2 linked regions of the Canis lupus familiaris genome follow. The protein of the gene in region 1 purifies or fractionates together with the protein of each later gene. This does not show direct contact. Links are inferred from orthologs where the notes say so. Each region holds a gene or a part of one and is shown on either strand. Other genes may lie near its edges.

Evidence for each region. Proteins that work in one complex are often made in the same cells at the same time.
Region 2: the proteins of PABIR2 (region 1) and YWHAE purify together in Homo sapiens (affinity purification with mass spectrometry; 3 studies listed by BioGRID and IntAct, with this or other methods). This does not show direct contact. The link is inferred for Canis lupus familiaris from reciprocal best matches to the Homo sapiens genes PABIR2 and YWHAE.

Annotation. Positions count from the first base shown.
Region 1 is NC_049260.1:106,343,005-106,349,708, forward strand, and holds the start of PABIR2 (protein FAM122B), read right to left. Parts: upstream 4,547-6,704; 5' UTR 3,534-4,546; coding exon 3,436-3,533; intron 1,279-3,435; coding exon 1,200-1,278; intron 1-1,199. Other genes in the region: protein FAM122A-like, read left to right, coding at 6,373-6,493.
Region 2 is NC_049230.1:45,481,999-45,488,119, forward strand, and holds part of YWHAE (14-3-3 protein epsilon), read right to left. Parts: intron 3,995-6,121; coding exon 3,888-3,994; intron 3,216-3,887; coding exon 3,009-3,215; intron 1-3,008. UniProt on the Homo sapiens protein: Adapter protein implicated in the regulation of a large spectrum of both general and specialized signaling pathways. Binds to a large number of partners, usually by recognition of a phosphoserine or phosphothreonine motif.

The sequences.
Region 1 (6,704 bases):
TTTTCCCCCTTTCTTAATGACACTGGCACATCTCTATTCTAATCCCAGCTCTGCCACTTACCAATCACGTGATTCTAAGCAAGTCACTTCTCTCAGCCGACACTTAGCTGCTGCCTCTTTTAACTGGGAAAAACATCTTTTGTCCTGCCTACTTCACAGGGGTTGCTATGAGAATGAAAAGTGTGAAAGGACTCTGTAACATGTAGAATACCATATAAGCAAAGGGACTAGTATAATTTAAGAAAGGTTAATGACCCAGGTACCTTTAAGAACATCAAGAATTCTACAGTTCTATGCCAGTGAGACCCTCAGGGTCTATTAACAGGCTCTTCGTCCTCATACTAAGCCGCAGACTAATTTTTAAAAAACCTCTGTCTGCTTTTCAGTTTTCCCCTCTCCTCCCTTGCTAGCAGCTATTAGTGTACCTTAAACCCGAATGCACCTCTGCTGATTTGCTGCTTCTCACATACTACCGAGTTGGAAGCTTATTATAATTATGCATAAATTTTAGATGATTCAGAGGTCAGAGAGGCTCCCTATAAATAATCTGATGAACCTTTATGCTCAGACTATGGAAATCAAGCACAGCCATTCAGAGGTCTGTTTGCTTACATCTCAGATGTCTTCCAGCGCACTGCAGCTACTGGATAAGTGGGCTCCACATGTGAAGTGCTACTATATAAAAAACCTCATCATCATTTCTCCCAATGCAACCAACTAATAAAGTGATCCCAACAGCTCTGGCTATATAAAACAGTCACTATTAGCAACTCTGCTGAGAACATAAATACGAGCATTTTAAAGGAGATCTTACTTTGGATAAATAGCACTGTCCAACAGATATGTGCCAGAGACAAATACTCTGCTACTGTCTTAATGATTTTTGCTTTCTAGAACAAATAAAGATCATTTTTCTCAGCTATATTTAGAGGTTAATCCTGACTTACCTCATAACCATGATGCAAGTAGTGACAAAAAACAACAATCTTTAGAAATACAAAGTCCCACAGCCAAGAAAAAACTTTAACCAGATCTCTTTTTTGCACCAAAAACTGAAAATGGCCACAGAATGAGCAAGACAGGTAAAATATTTTTTTCTTTTGTGAACAGAGGGGCATAGCACATCATCTTAAGAATGAACTACATTTGAAAGTGTTTTCCCCAATCCATACCACTAAAATACTTACTTCTATACTTACCAGGTTATGACGGCTCATAACTGTTGTACTATTCCTCCGAGTTCTAAATGTATAAGGTTGAAAGACCTGTGAAAGATCACTAAAAAATAAAAATAAAATTATTAGTGTCTTCTCATTTGAGATATCCATCAACTCTCTGATCAACAATGAAATCTTCCATGGTTCCTCATTTTGTACAATGAATAAGCTCCTCACTGACCTCTTCAGAGCTTCTGCTGTGGATCACAGGTTTGCCCAGATACTGATCTCCTCAGTGGTTGGGGGGCAAGCTAGGAGAGGTATGGGGCGGGGCTCCAAACTGGTTGCCTCCAGCTGCTTCTGGTCAGAGCTCACGCCCCCAAACCAGTTCCCACCAGACACCAGCAGCCTCATCTGTTTACACCAAAGGACCTAAACATACTACTGCTTTCTATGTGTGCCATGACCATGAGAAGAGCTGGGGAGCCTTGTGCTACAGTACAGGGCCCATCAGCACATCTCCCACTATAGCCCTAAATAAGTGTTCTACCTGTGAGTCTGCTGTACAACTAAATAAACATACCTGGAGTTTTTCTCAAGTTGCCTCTTCTGCTTTCACAATGTCCTACCTCCCACCACCATCAATCAAAATCCTTCCTCTCCTTGAGCACCCATTTCAATCCAATACCCTCTGTGAATGAAGCCTCTCTTCAGTCCACAAACCGAATGCAATCCTGCCCTCCTTTGAGTCCAAAGAGCACAATGCGAAATAAGATGCTTCTTGAGACATCGACTTTACCTCTTATTACAGAGAAGTGTGCGTGTGTTTTAAATTCCATGGTAGAGGTCTTTTGTTCCTTCTTGTATAACATCCCCGCAGTGCCTAGCAGAGTGCCGTGCCCATGATAAGAAGCCAAGAAAAATTTTCAGGACTGAATTGAATTGGGCTTCACTGGACCCATGAGATCACCTAATTCAGGTCTTAAGTTTCAAATGAAAAAACAGACACTTAGAATGGCTAAGTGACTCATTCATGATCACAGTTAGGGAGAGATATTGGGACTAGGTCTTGTCTCCTCACTCCTTCTGTCACATCATGCTACCCTGGCAAGTAATTACTTAAATCTCGATTCAAAAAACAGTGTTATTTCTATGACAGTCTAAATGCAGGTCAGCATGATCGCCCTAGTCCCTTGCAATTGCTTGCTTACCAGATTTAAAAAGACAACCCCAAAAGACCAATTTATTCCTATAGTATCAAAAATAAATGTAGAGCTGAGGACAGCCATTAAGAAAGCAAAGAGTCACCCCATCATTCCCTCAGTTTAAAAATTTAATACAAGAAAATGAGTAAATCCATTTTCCCCTCAAATACAGATATTATAATCAGTTTGATAGATAAAAATTACCTATTTCTCTGCCTTCACTGTGCTTGATTAATGATTTTGGCTAATTCTACTCCCATCCCCTTTTTTGGGCTAATTCCATTTCTACAAGGTCTCACAAATTAGCTCTCCACTAAGATGAATTGTCTACTTACAGGAGTGAAATGTAATAGGCTCAGGAGGTCTGCCAACCTAACCTTCACTATTGTAAGATTCTACCTTAAAATAGACCCTCTAGTGAGTATTCACGTGAAAATACAAGACCCTACCACTAAAATTCAAGGGTTGATTCTTTCCATTGTTTTCTAAAACCTGTATTTTCACTGACCTAAGCTAAGAGACACCTTTTGTTTTTTATTCACTGGTATGCATTCCAGGCAGTTTTAGGATCTGAAAACATTACGACAAATCCCAATCACTTAATGTGCCATGAACATGACACTTGTTACAAGTTATTAGATAAATTGTGATTTATTAAAGTAAATGCTCCGTTAATGCCAGGGTTCCTAAACTAAGCTTAGAAATAGCAGCTCTTAGAGACAGGTGTCAAGTTGCAAGTCTAGTTCCAGGGGCTTCAGGCTAACATTCAGTGGTGCAAATTAGGCAGGGCAAGCAACCTGTTACAAGATCCAGAAGCTTCTTGTAGATCCTTTCAGAGTGGGCCAAGAGAGCCCCAGGTAAAGAGGGTCCCATTTTTTCCACACTTCCCAGAGTCTGGGGTCAAACTTTCACTCCACCTTGGGACCCAAGTCACTGTCGAGCAAACAAGTCCCCATGCCCTTAATTTGGAAAACCCAGATGAGCACCAACTCTCACTTTAGGGAAGGAAGATTGCTTGCAGGGGGTCAAGGAGCCCCTGAACCCTGTACTTCATCGTTCCCAACCCGCCTCACCTGAGCCCATGGATCAGGGGAGCGCTGCTGGATCTCCTCAGGGTGCCCCCATCGGATGTGTCAGGCTCGAAGTCCAGCTCCATTTTCTCCTGAGCCATGTCGGAGACTTGCAGGCAGGCACAGCGGACAGTGCTCAGCTCCTGGTGCTTAGCTATGGACTCCCAAGACTCTCACTGCAGGACTGAGCTGCTGGGGACTGGCAGCTGGGGGCGGGGGCTAAGGGGCGGAGGCTTAGGGGCGGGGGCTAAGGGGCGGAGAAAAGCAGGAAAGGAGGAGGAGGGAAGGAGGATGAGGATGAGGAAGGGAGCTTGAGAGTGAGTGAGGGGAGGAGGAAGGGGGGCGGTAGTGGAGTGGGAGGTGGTGGAGGGTGACAGAATAAAGGAAGAGGGTGAAGGAAAAGAGAGGGATGGAAGGAAAAGAGCAAGAGATAGGGAAAGCGGATATATAGAAAAGCAGGAAAGCAGAGAGAGTAAAAGGAGGACAGGATCGGGAAAGGAAGATGAGGAAAGGAGGAGGACCGAGGGGGAAGAGGAGAGCAGGGTGGTGGGAAAAGAGGAATACGAGAGAGGGAAAGAAAAAGAGGTATGGGGAAGAGGAGGGAGGGAGGAGGCGGACGGAGGGAGAAGAGGATGGGGAGGAAACTAGGCAGCGGCGGAACTCATGTTGCTATCTTTTGGCCGACGACCTCAACCGGGGCCGGGCTACAAACACCGCAGCTGCCCAGGCAGCGCTAGTACCAAAAAGCTGACAGTTGGGCAGGGCCCGGCCGGGCGGCCTCGACGGCTCCAGTTCCCCATGCTGGGGGACCCGGTCCAGCCCCCCATGCTCTGGGACTCGGTCCCGGAGGATCCTCAGCCCTGTGAGGGGTGCTTATCCCCTCCCTACCCCCCCTCCCCGCCTGGAGGACAGGTGGGGGGTTCGGCCCTTCAGCCGCCGCCGCGGTGCCTCCTCTTCCTCTCTTGGGTTCTAATGGCCCGAGGGAACCCCTTGGGGCCAAGACCAAAATCTACAACCTGCCGCCTTTTCCGCCTCCCACGCTTCAGCAGCGGGAACCGCCGCGGGGCCAAGTCTTCCGCGTCCGGGCACCCATCGGGTCCTGCGCACGCGCCCGGCGGCCGCGCCAATGAGCCCGCGGGCACCGAGCATGCGTGGGAACCCCGCCCCGCAAACCTCCTCCAAAAGGGAGGAGCGTTTTCAGGGGGCCCGGCGCCTTCCTCTCTGGCATTGGCCCGGGGACCCTGGCGCCCGATTTTGAAAAGAACCAATAGTTTGGAGACAGTGGAGCATCGCCGTTCAGGAGGAGTTTGGGCCAATATTCAAGGGAAACAGAAACTTGTGGTTTCCATGTTTTTTCAATGCCAATTTATTTGCTCTGATCTCTGTGATCTCTGCCCATTTCTTAAATCCCTTGATTTTGTTTGGTGTTTGGAGGGGCTGATTTTTTTTTTCAGATAATCCGTTTGGATGCACTAAACAAAAGGGAAGTGAAAAAACAAAAGTAATGGTGTAAAAATAAAGAGAATCGAATAAGAGTTCATATAGCGAGTGGCAATCACCATCTTCATTTTACAAGCATTGTCAGCTTCAACGATATTAGGAAAAGTCCTGAAGAACAAGTAGCAGAACCAGAATTTTTTTTCCTTCCTAGGATTTACAGAGACCCTAACAATAGTCATTCAGCATGTGTGAGGCCTGGAATTACTTATTTTATTTAACAAATATCTACGTAGCAATTGCTGTGTGCTAGGCACCATTCTAAGAGCTTTAGAAATATTAACTCATTCAATCCTCGCTACTTGAATAACCATGGGATAAAGATGGTATTGTATTGTGTTAATCATACAGAGGGAGAAATACAGAAAATTTAATAGTCATGAAATTGGTTTCAAAATATAGCAAAAATAGAGCCACCTGGGTGGTTCAGTCCATTGGGCATCTGCCTTTGGCTCAGGTCATGATCCCTGGGTCCTGGGATTGAGCCCTGCGTGAAACTCCCTGCTCAGGGGGGTCTGCTGGTCCCTCTCCCTATGCCCTGCCCCTCTTCTCATGCTTGCACTTTCTCTCACATAAATAAATAATTTTTTTTAATTTAGCAAAAATAGGGATGCCTGGGTGGCTCAGTGGTTGAGCATCTGCCTTCAGCTCAGGGCATGATCCCGGAGTTCCGGGATTGAGTCCCCCACATTGGGTTCCCTGCATGGATCCTGCTTCTCCTCACTCTGCCTATGTTTCTGCCTCTGTGTGTGTGTGTCTCTCATAAATAAATTAAATGTTTTTTTTAATTTAGCAAAAATAATTTTACCTGCCTATTCAACTTAGTTGTCCCATATTAAACTTGCCAAATCCAATCATTTTATTCCTCAATGTTAATATTCACTGCTTGTAATATAGAGTTTTTAAAGCACTTTTAGATAGTTTCCTTTAAATTGCCTATATTTTTCTTCCAACTGGATTGGAAAAGCAAGCTCTGTTTTTGACCAATTTATGTAGCTCTTTTCATCTCAAGGTCTCAGCAACCCCCTCATCTGCTCAAAACAACATAGTACATTCTATTGTTCACAATAGCTACTAAACAATCATTTGTTGGCTACGTGTAGAATTCCTAACTCTGAGGAGTCAAATGATTTAGTAGAATCCCTAACTTTCAGGACCTTAACAATTAGGAGAAACTCAAAGACATGTTAGAAGATGGATGCAACCTTGACCATCATTTCCAGATTCTATTCATATCGTTCTTGCCTACCTAGTTTCTCTTACCCTTCATATAAATCTTTTGGGAGGTTTAGGGTATTTGTGGTTTGTGGGCTTGGGTTCAGCTTGCCTTTGATTTGCTTTTGTGATAAGGAAAATTTGCTTTAAAGTTGCCATGACGACTAGTAAACAACTGATTATGACATATTTGTGGGACACCTTTTATAAGTAAGAGGCCTGGCACAGATGGTAGCAGACTGGGACAAAGACAAGAGTAGCATAAGTGGCAAGGTAAAAGCAAACCAGCAATCTGAGATCATGGCATATTGCTACAGAACAGCAGAAGCTGATGATGACACACAGCTAGGTTGGTATAATAGTGCGTGAGTAGAAATGGGAAGAAGTAAAAATAATTTCTTTAAATGTTGTGTTTGCCCCTGTGGTATACAGAATTGTTTTTGTAGTACTTGTTCCTTTTGACATTCTAACTTGCATATGTACTCTGAGTTCCTGGCATTCAGCTACACTTAATTAAAGAATTCCTCTTTTTTGGCAATACCTGCAAACTTCCTGCCATC
Region 2 (6,121 bases), on another chromosome or scaffold:
AGAAATGACGTGTTAGAAATCAATCTTTTTCTTCAGCTATCCCACAGTATATAATACTATCCTGGGTTTAAATACTGTAATAAAGGAAAAATAGATGTAACTGATGAAAATTAATTTTCTATTTAATTTTATAATCTAGCAAATTTGGAGGCATAAAATTGTTAGGAGCACTACTACATTATTTTTTTTAAAAACTCCCCATGTGGGGCTCAAACTCATGACCTCAACCTCGAGGTCAAGAGTCACATGCTCTACCTACTGAGCTAGCCAGGCACCCCAGAACACCACTTCTTACTAGGCTTTTGACAAGCCTATCAATAAACAGAATATAGACTAAATAAATTCTATCCTGAACCAACCAAAATATAGGCATAATAAAAGTATTACCAAGTTCTAGTCAACAGCTCACGTTTTTAAAAAATTTTATTTATTTATTCATGAGACACATACATAGAAGAGAGAAGAGAGAGAGAGAGAGAGCCAGAGACCTAGGCAGAGGGAGAAGCAGGCTTCTTGTGGGGAGCCTATGTGGGACTTGATCCCAGGACCCCGGGATCATGACTTGAGCCGAAGGCAGATATCTGGCTCAACCACTAAGCCAGCCAAGCATTAACAGCTCACTTATTTAATAAAATTTTAATGCAAAAAGATGAAATGTTAGTTCAGTTTATTTCCGAAGAATTTAATGTTAACAGAAGCCAAAAATGGGGGGAGGGGCAATATAGAACCCACAAAAATGTATGTAAGCTATTCGTTAGAATTTAAAAGAAACAACATTTACTGGATATATTGTATGATGTATACCAAGTGATGTGGAACACTGGTGGAGAAACAGAAGAGAGGGAAAAAACAATCTCAGTCCACAGTGAATATCTAGAAAATAGAGGACTGACATATAAAACCATTATAAAACAAGTATGAAGTGCTTCTCTGGAGAAAGTACTTCAGAAACCCTAGAGGACAAGAAAAAGGAAAAATCAAATATAAACTCATCTTAAAGGGTAGGGAAAAGAATGAATGCACACTTAAGATTAAAGCAAATGCATAAAAATAAAGGCATGGAGAAGACTTAACTCCAAGTGATATGTGGGACAAGCAGACTGGAGAATGACAATGAAAGACCCAACCAATACTATTAGCTGAACAGAGATAGCTATAACTTCTTCAGCTGAGACCTGTACCTGTTTAAACTCGACGAGGCATTTAGAATGTTTTTATTTTTAAGTATTTATTTTTAAAGATTTTATTAATTCATGAGAGACAGAGAGAGGCAGAGACACAGGCAGAGGGAGAAGCAGGCTTCCCATGGGAGCCGAATGTGGGACTCCACCCCAGGACCCTGGGATCACAACCTGAGCCAAAGGCAGACGCTCAACCACTGAGCCACCCAGGTGCCCTTAGAATGTTTTTAGATGAATAAATAATGGTCTGCATTCAAATGAATCCACCTCACAAAAGGACAATCTCTCCCTTTCATCGAGTATCTGATCCCTACATACTGAAGACTGTAAACTATAAACAACAAATACATTATACCAATTATATGAAGTACCTAAAATAGGCAAATTCACAAAGAGAAAAGGTAGAAATAACTGGGGTCAAGGGTGGGCGAATCTGGACAATGACCCGGTACCAGTTAGTGTTTGTTTCAGGTGATTAAAAAGTTTTGGAAATAACTTAGTGGTGACAGTTACACAATATTGCAGGTGTATTTAATGCCATTCAATTATACAACTTAAAAATGGTTAGAAGAATGAGGGGCGCCTGAGTGGCTCAGTCATGAAGAATCTGATTCTTGATTTCAACTCAGGTTATGATCTCAGTGTCATAGGACCAAGTTCTGCATCAGCTCTGAGCCCAGCAGGGAGTCTGCTGGAGATTCTCTTTGCACCCCACCCCCACTCACTCATTATCTCTAAAATAAATAAATCTTTTGGGTGGCTGGGTGGCTCAGTCCATTGACCATCTGCTGTTGGCTGAGGTCATGATTTTAGGGTCCTGGGATCGAGCCCTGCAGGGAGTCTCCCTCCCTCTCTCTGCTCATGCTCTCCCTCCCTCTCAAATAAATAAAATCCTTAAAATTAAAATAATAATAATAATAAATCTTTAAAAAATGGTTAGAGTGATAAACTGTTATATTTTGCAATAACTTTTACAAGAAAAAGCCATGTACATAGAGGTAGCCCTTAAATTTCTATCTGTATCAAATATTGGCAACAATCTAAAATACATATGAGGGAATTATTAACATAGAAAGATGGAAAACTATTCATATTAGAATAGAAAATACAAAATATGTACACTAAGAGCCTAACTATGTTAACATACCTACAAATGACTAAAAGCTCATATATAAAAAAAAGAAAATAGGGATCCCTGGGTGGCGCAGTGGTTTAGCGCCTGCCTTTGGCCCAGGGCGCGATCCTGGAGATCCGGGATTGAATCCCACGTCAGGCTCCCGGTGCATGGAGCCTGCTTCTCCCTCTGCCTGTGTCTCTGCCTCTCTCTCTCTCTCTGTGTGACTATCATAAATAAATAAAATTAAAAAAAAAAGAATAATTCTATTCTAAATCCACCCTCTGGGACACCTAGGTGGCTCAGCGGTTGAATGCCTGCCTTCGGTCCAGGGTGTGATCCTGGGGTCCTGGGATGGAGTCCCACCTCAAGCTCCCTGCATGGAGCCTGCTTCTCTCTCTGCCTGTGTCTCTCATTAACAAATAAAATCTTAAAAAAAAAAATAATAATAATAATTCCACCCTCCCACTAACAAGTTAAAATTTCAACCTACCAACCAAAATTGTCCCCATCAACATAATCTAAAACTGCTATCCTAGTGAACAGAGATAGAGTCGGTCTTAAAATAATCCAAAGAAGTTTCATTAAAAGCCAAAAGAATTCTTACATGTCCAAGGCCACAAAGGCAATCCCAGGAAATAAGACAAATAATTCTCTCTTGTAATGTTTTTCACTTTCCCAGTGAGAACTTTTGTTTCTCTTCCATGACTTACCTGCAGGCACGGTCGGGGGAATTAAGAATTTCATAGTAGAATACAGAAAAGTTGAGAGCAAGACCTAAGCGAATTGGATGCGTTGGTGGAAGTTCTGTCATTGCAATATCACTAGCAGCTTTATAAGCCACTAGGCTGTTCTCTGCAGCCTCCTTCCTGTCATTTCCTGTGGCAAATTCAGCCAGATACCTGTGGTAGTCCCCTTTCCTAAAACAAAACAAAATAAAACAAATAGAATTAGGAAGAATGCTTTTTAAATGAAAGTAAACTGTTAAAATTTTTCTATAATCTATAAAATGAAATGTAACAAAAATTATTTTAATAATCAGCATGTATACTTCAATAACTTCACTCTATCAGGAAAGACTATTCAGTTTTCCTTCTCAGAGTTCAGAATACTAAATATAAGCAAAATCTTAGAGAAATTAATTGAAAAGCCTCTAAAAAAAAAAAATCAATAAATTTATTGCCAACTAGAATTAAACATAAAAAAGTGGTTCCAAAAAATGGCATGACAGTTAATTGTGAAATAAAACTTCTACATAAAACATTAAAACTGAACTATGTAATGTATTGCAACAGTTGATGGGTTAACTCCACACAAAAACAAATGAAAAGAGGTAAAACCTAGTACTCTTATAGTAAATAGTCTGAGCATCTTAAATGCAACAATAACTGTTCATTAGCAGTGAATATGCAAATGAGCACTCTAAGTTTTGAAAATCATTCCTCCCATATAACTATCCTTTAAACATTAAACAATTATTCTTAAATAAAAGTTGAACACCTACACAAAAAAGTGATAATTCAAAAAAAAAGTGATAATTCTAAGGGGGCTAACATTTAATCTGACATTTTCCCTTCTAGTATAGAACCTACATTTTATAATAGAAAACCTTGGACTCGCCAGTGTTAGCTGCTGGAATGAGGTGTTTGTCCAGTACATCCAGAATGTCACAACAGATTAACTTTAGCTCAGTCTCAACCTGAAAAAAAAAGTAAAAAATTGTTTGTTTACTTAATTGTAACATGAATTACGACATATTTGCCCACTGGTTTTGAGGAAGAGAGCCAGAGTAAACAGAATACACATCTCTATCTAAATCTTTTTTAAAAATTTTTATAAATAAATAAATAAATAAATAAATAAATAAATAAATTTAAAAAATGCTGAATCTCCCCTGCTCTTGATTTTAAAAAAAGCAGAGAAAAGCTGTCTCCAGGTTAGACATTATCTTCCTTCTACATGCTAAAAAACAAAAACCAAAACCAACCCCCTACACACACACACACACACACACACACACGGGCAACCTGGTTGGCTCAGCTGGTGGAGCATGTGACTCTCAATCTCATAGTTATTCAAACCTCACGTGAGGTATAAAGATTACTTAAAAATAAAATCGTTTTCTTTTTAAAGAAGATTTTATTTATTTATTCATGAGAGACAGAGAGACAGAGAGAGAGAGAGAGAAGCAGAGACACAGGCAGAGGGAGAAGCAGGCTCCATGCAGGGAGCCTGACGTGGGACTGGATCCCGGGTCTCCGGGATCACACCCCGGGCTGAAGGCAGCGCTAAACCACTGAGCCACCCGGGCTGCCCTTGAAAATAAAATCTAAACAAACACACCAACCCAACAACCTCATGGTTTAGCTACAGAACTGAGTATAATACTGATTGCTATTTACAAGTGCTGCATACTTAATTAGCATATTTAACAAGGTAGAAACTATGTCTCTATTTACATGGGGAAACGATTATATAGTATTTAGCCAAAAGGAGGAGAGCTAGGATCTGAACCAATGTAGGCTATAAAGCCTAAGGTCACAGCTTCTAAGGGATGGAATAAAAATTAAAAAGCTAGGGCAGCCCAGGTGGCTCAGCGGTTTAGTGCCGCCTTCAGCCCAGGGTGTGATCCTGGAGACCCGGGATAGAGTCCCGTGTCGGGCTCCCTGCGAGAAGCCTGCTTCTCCCTCTGCCTAGGTCTCTGCCTCTCTCTGTGTCTCTCTCACAAATCAAATAAAATCTTAAAAAACAAAACAAAACAAAACAAAAACAGGGCAGCCCCCATGGCACAGTGGTTTAGCACCGCCTGCAGCCTGGGGTGTGATCCTGGAGACCCGGGATCGAGTCCCACATCGGGATCCCTGCATGGAGCCTGCTTCTCCCTCTGCCTGGGTCTCTGCCTCTCTTACTCTGTGTCTCTCATGAATAAATAAATAAAATCTTTAAAAAAAAATTCAAAAAAAAAAATTCAAACCTAGACACAGCCTGCCTCCAGTGCTCACATTCCTAACCACTACTATGCTCAACAGCCAATCATTTGAGTGGCTCAGATCCACAGTCCACCATGACACCAAAAATGCTTATACTCAAGTAAATATTGCCACTCATCTCAATTTATCATACTAAAAATGCATACCACCACAAACACACATAATTATTTGGGCCCTTTCCACTGTAAAGAATTCCCCCACTCTCTCTTCTCCTGTAATCTCATCCTGATTCTATGTTAAACTAGCTCCTTCCTGAAAAACTTACCTCCTTTGTGGCTTTTTAAGTGGCGATTACTGTAGAGACAAGACAATTTCTGGATTCGCTCAGTTCCCCACTAAGTCAGTATTACTCCAAACTGTTCCTATTTGGAAGCTCATCTTCAACTTAATTTCTTTTTCTTTTCTTTTTTCTTTTTTTTTTTTTTAAAGATTTTATTCACTCATTCATGAGAGATACAGAGTGAGAGAGGCAGAGACACAGGAAGAGGGAGAAGCAGGCTCCATGCACGGGGCCAGACATGGGACCTGATCCCGGGTCCCCAGGATCACACCCCGGGCCAAAGGAGGTGCTAAACCGCTGAGCCACCGGGGCTGCCCTTCAATTTAATTTCTAAGAATCTGTTCTCAGTCAGTGGATCTCTATAGGCCTTTCACTCACATTCAGTCTACCTCTTCAATTCCTGGCATCACATCCGTGTTCCTTTCAACACAGTTGTTCTTTGATCTTTTCTCTATGACCTTATTTGTCAACATCCCTAATTGTACTGCTTTAACCCAACAAGTTGTAAATTCTAGTATTTCACAATCGGAATGTAACTTCCTTTTTTTTATTTCCT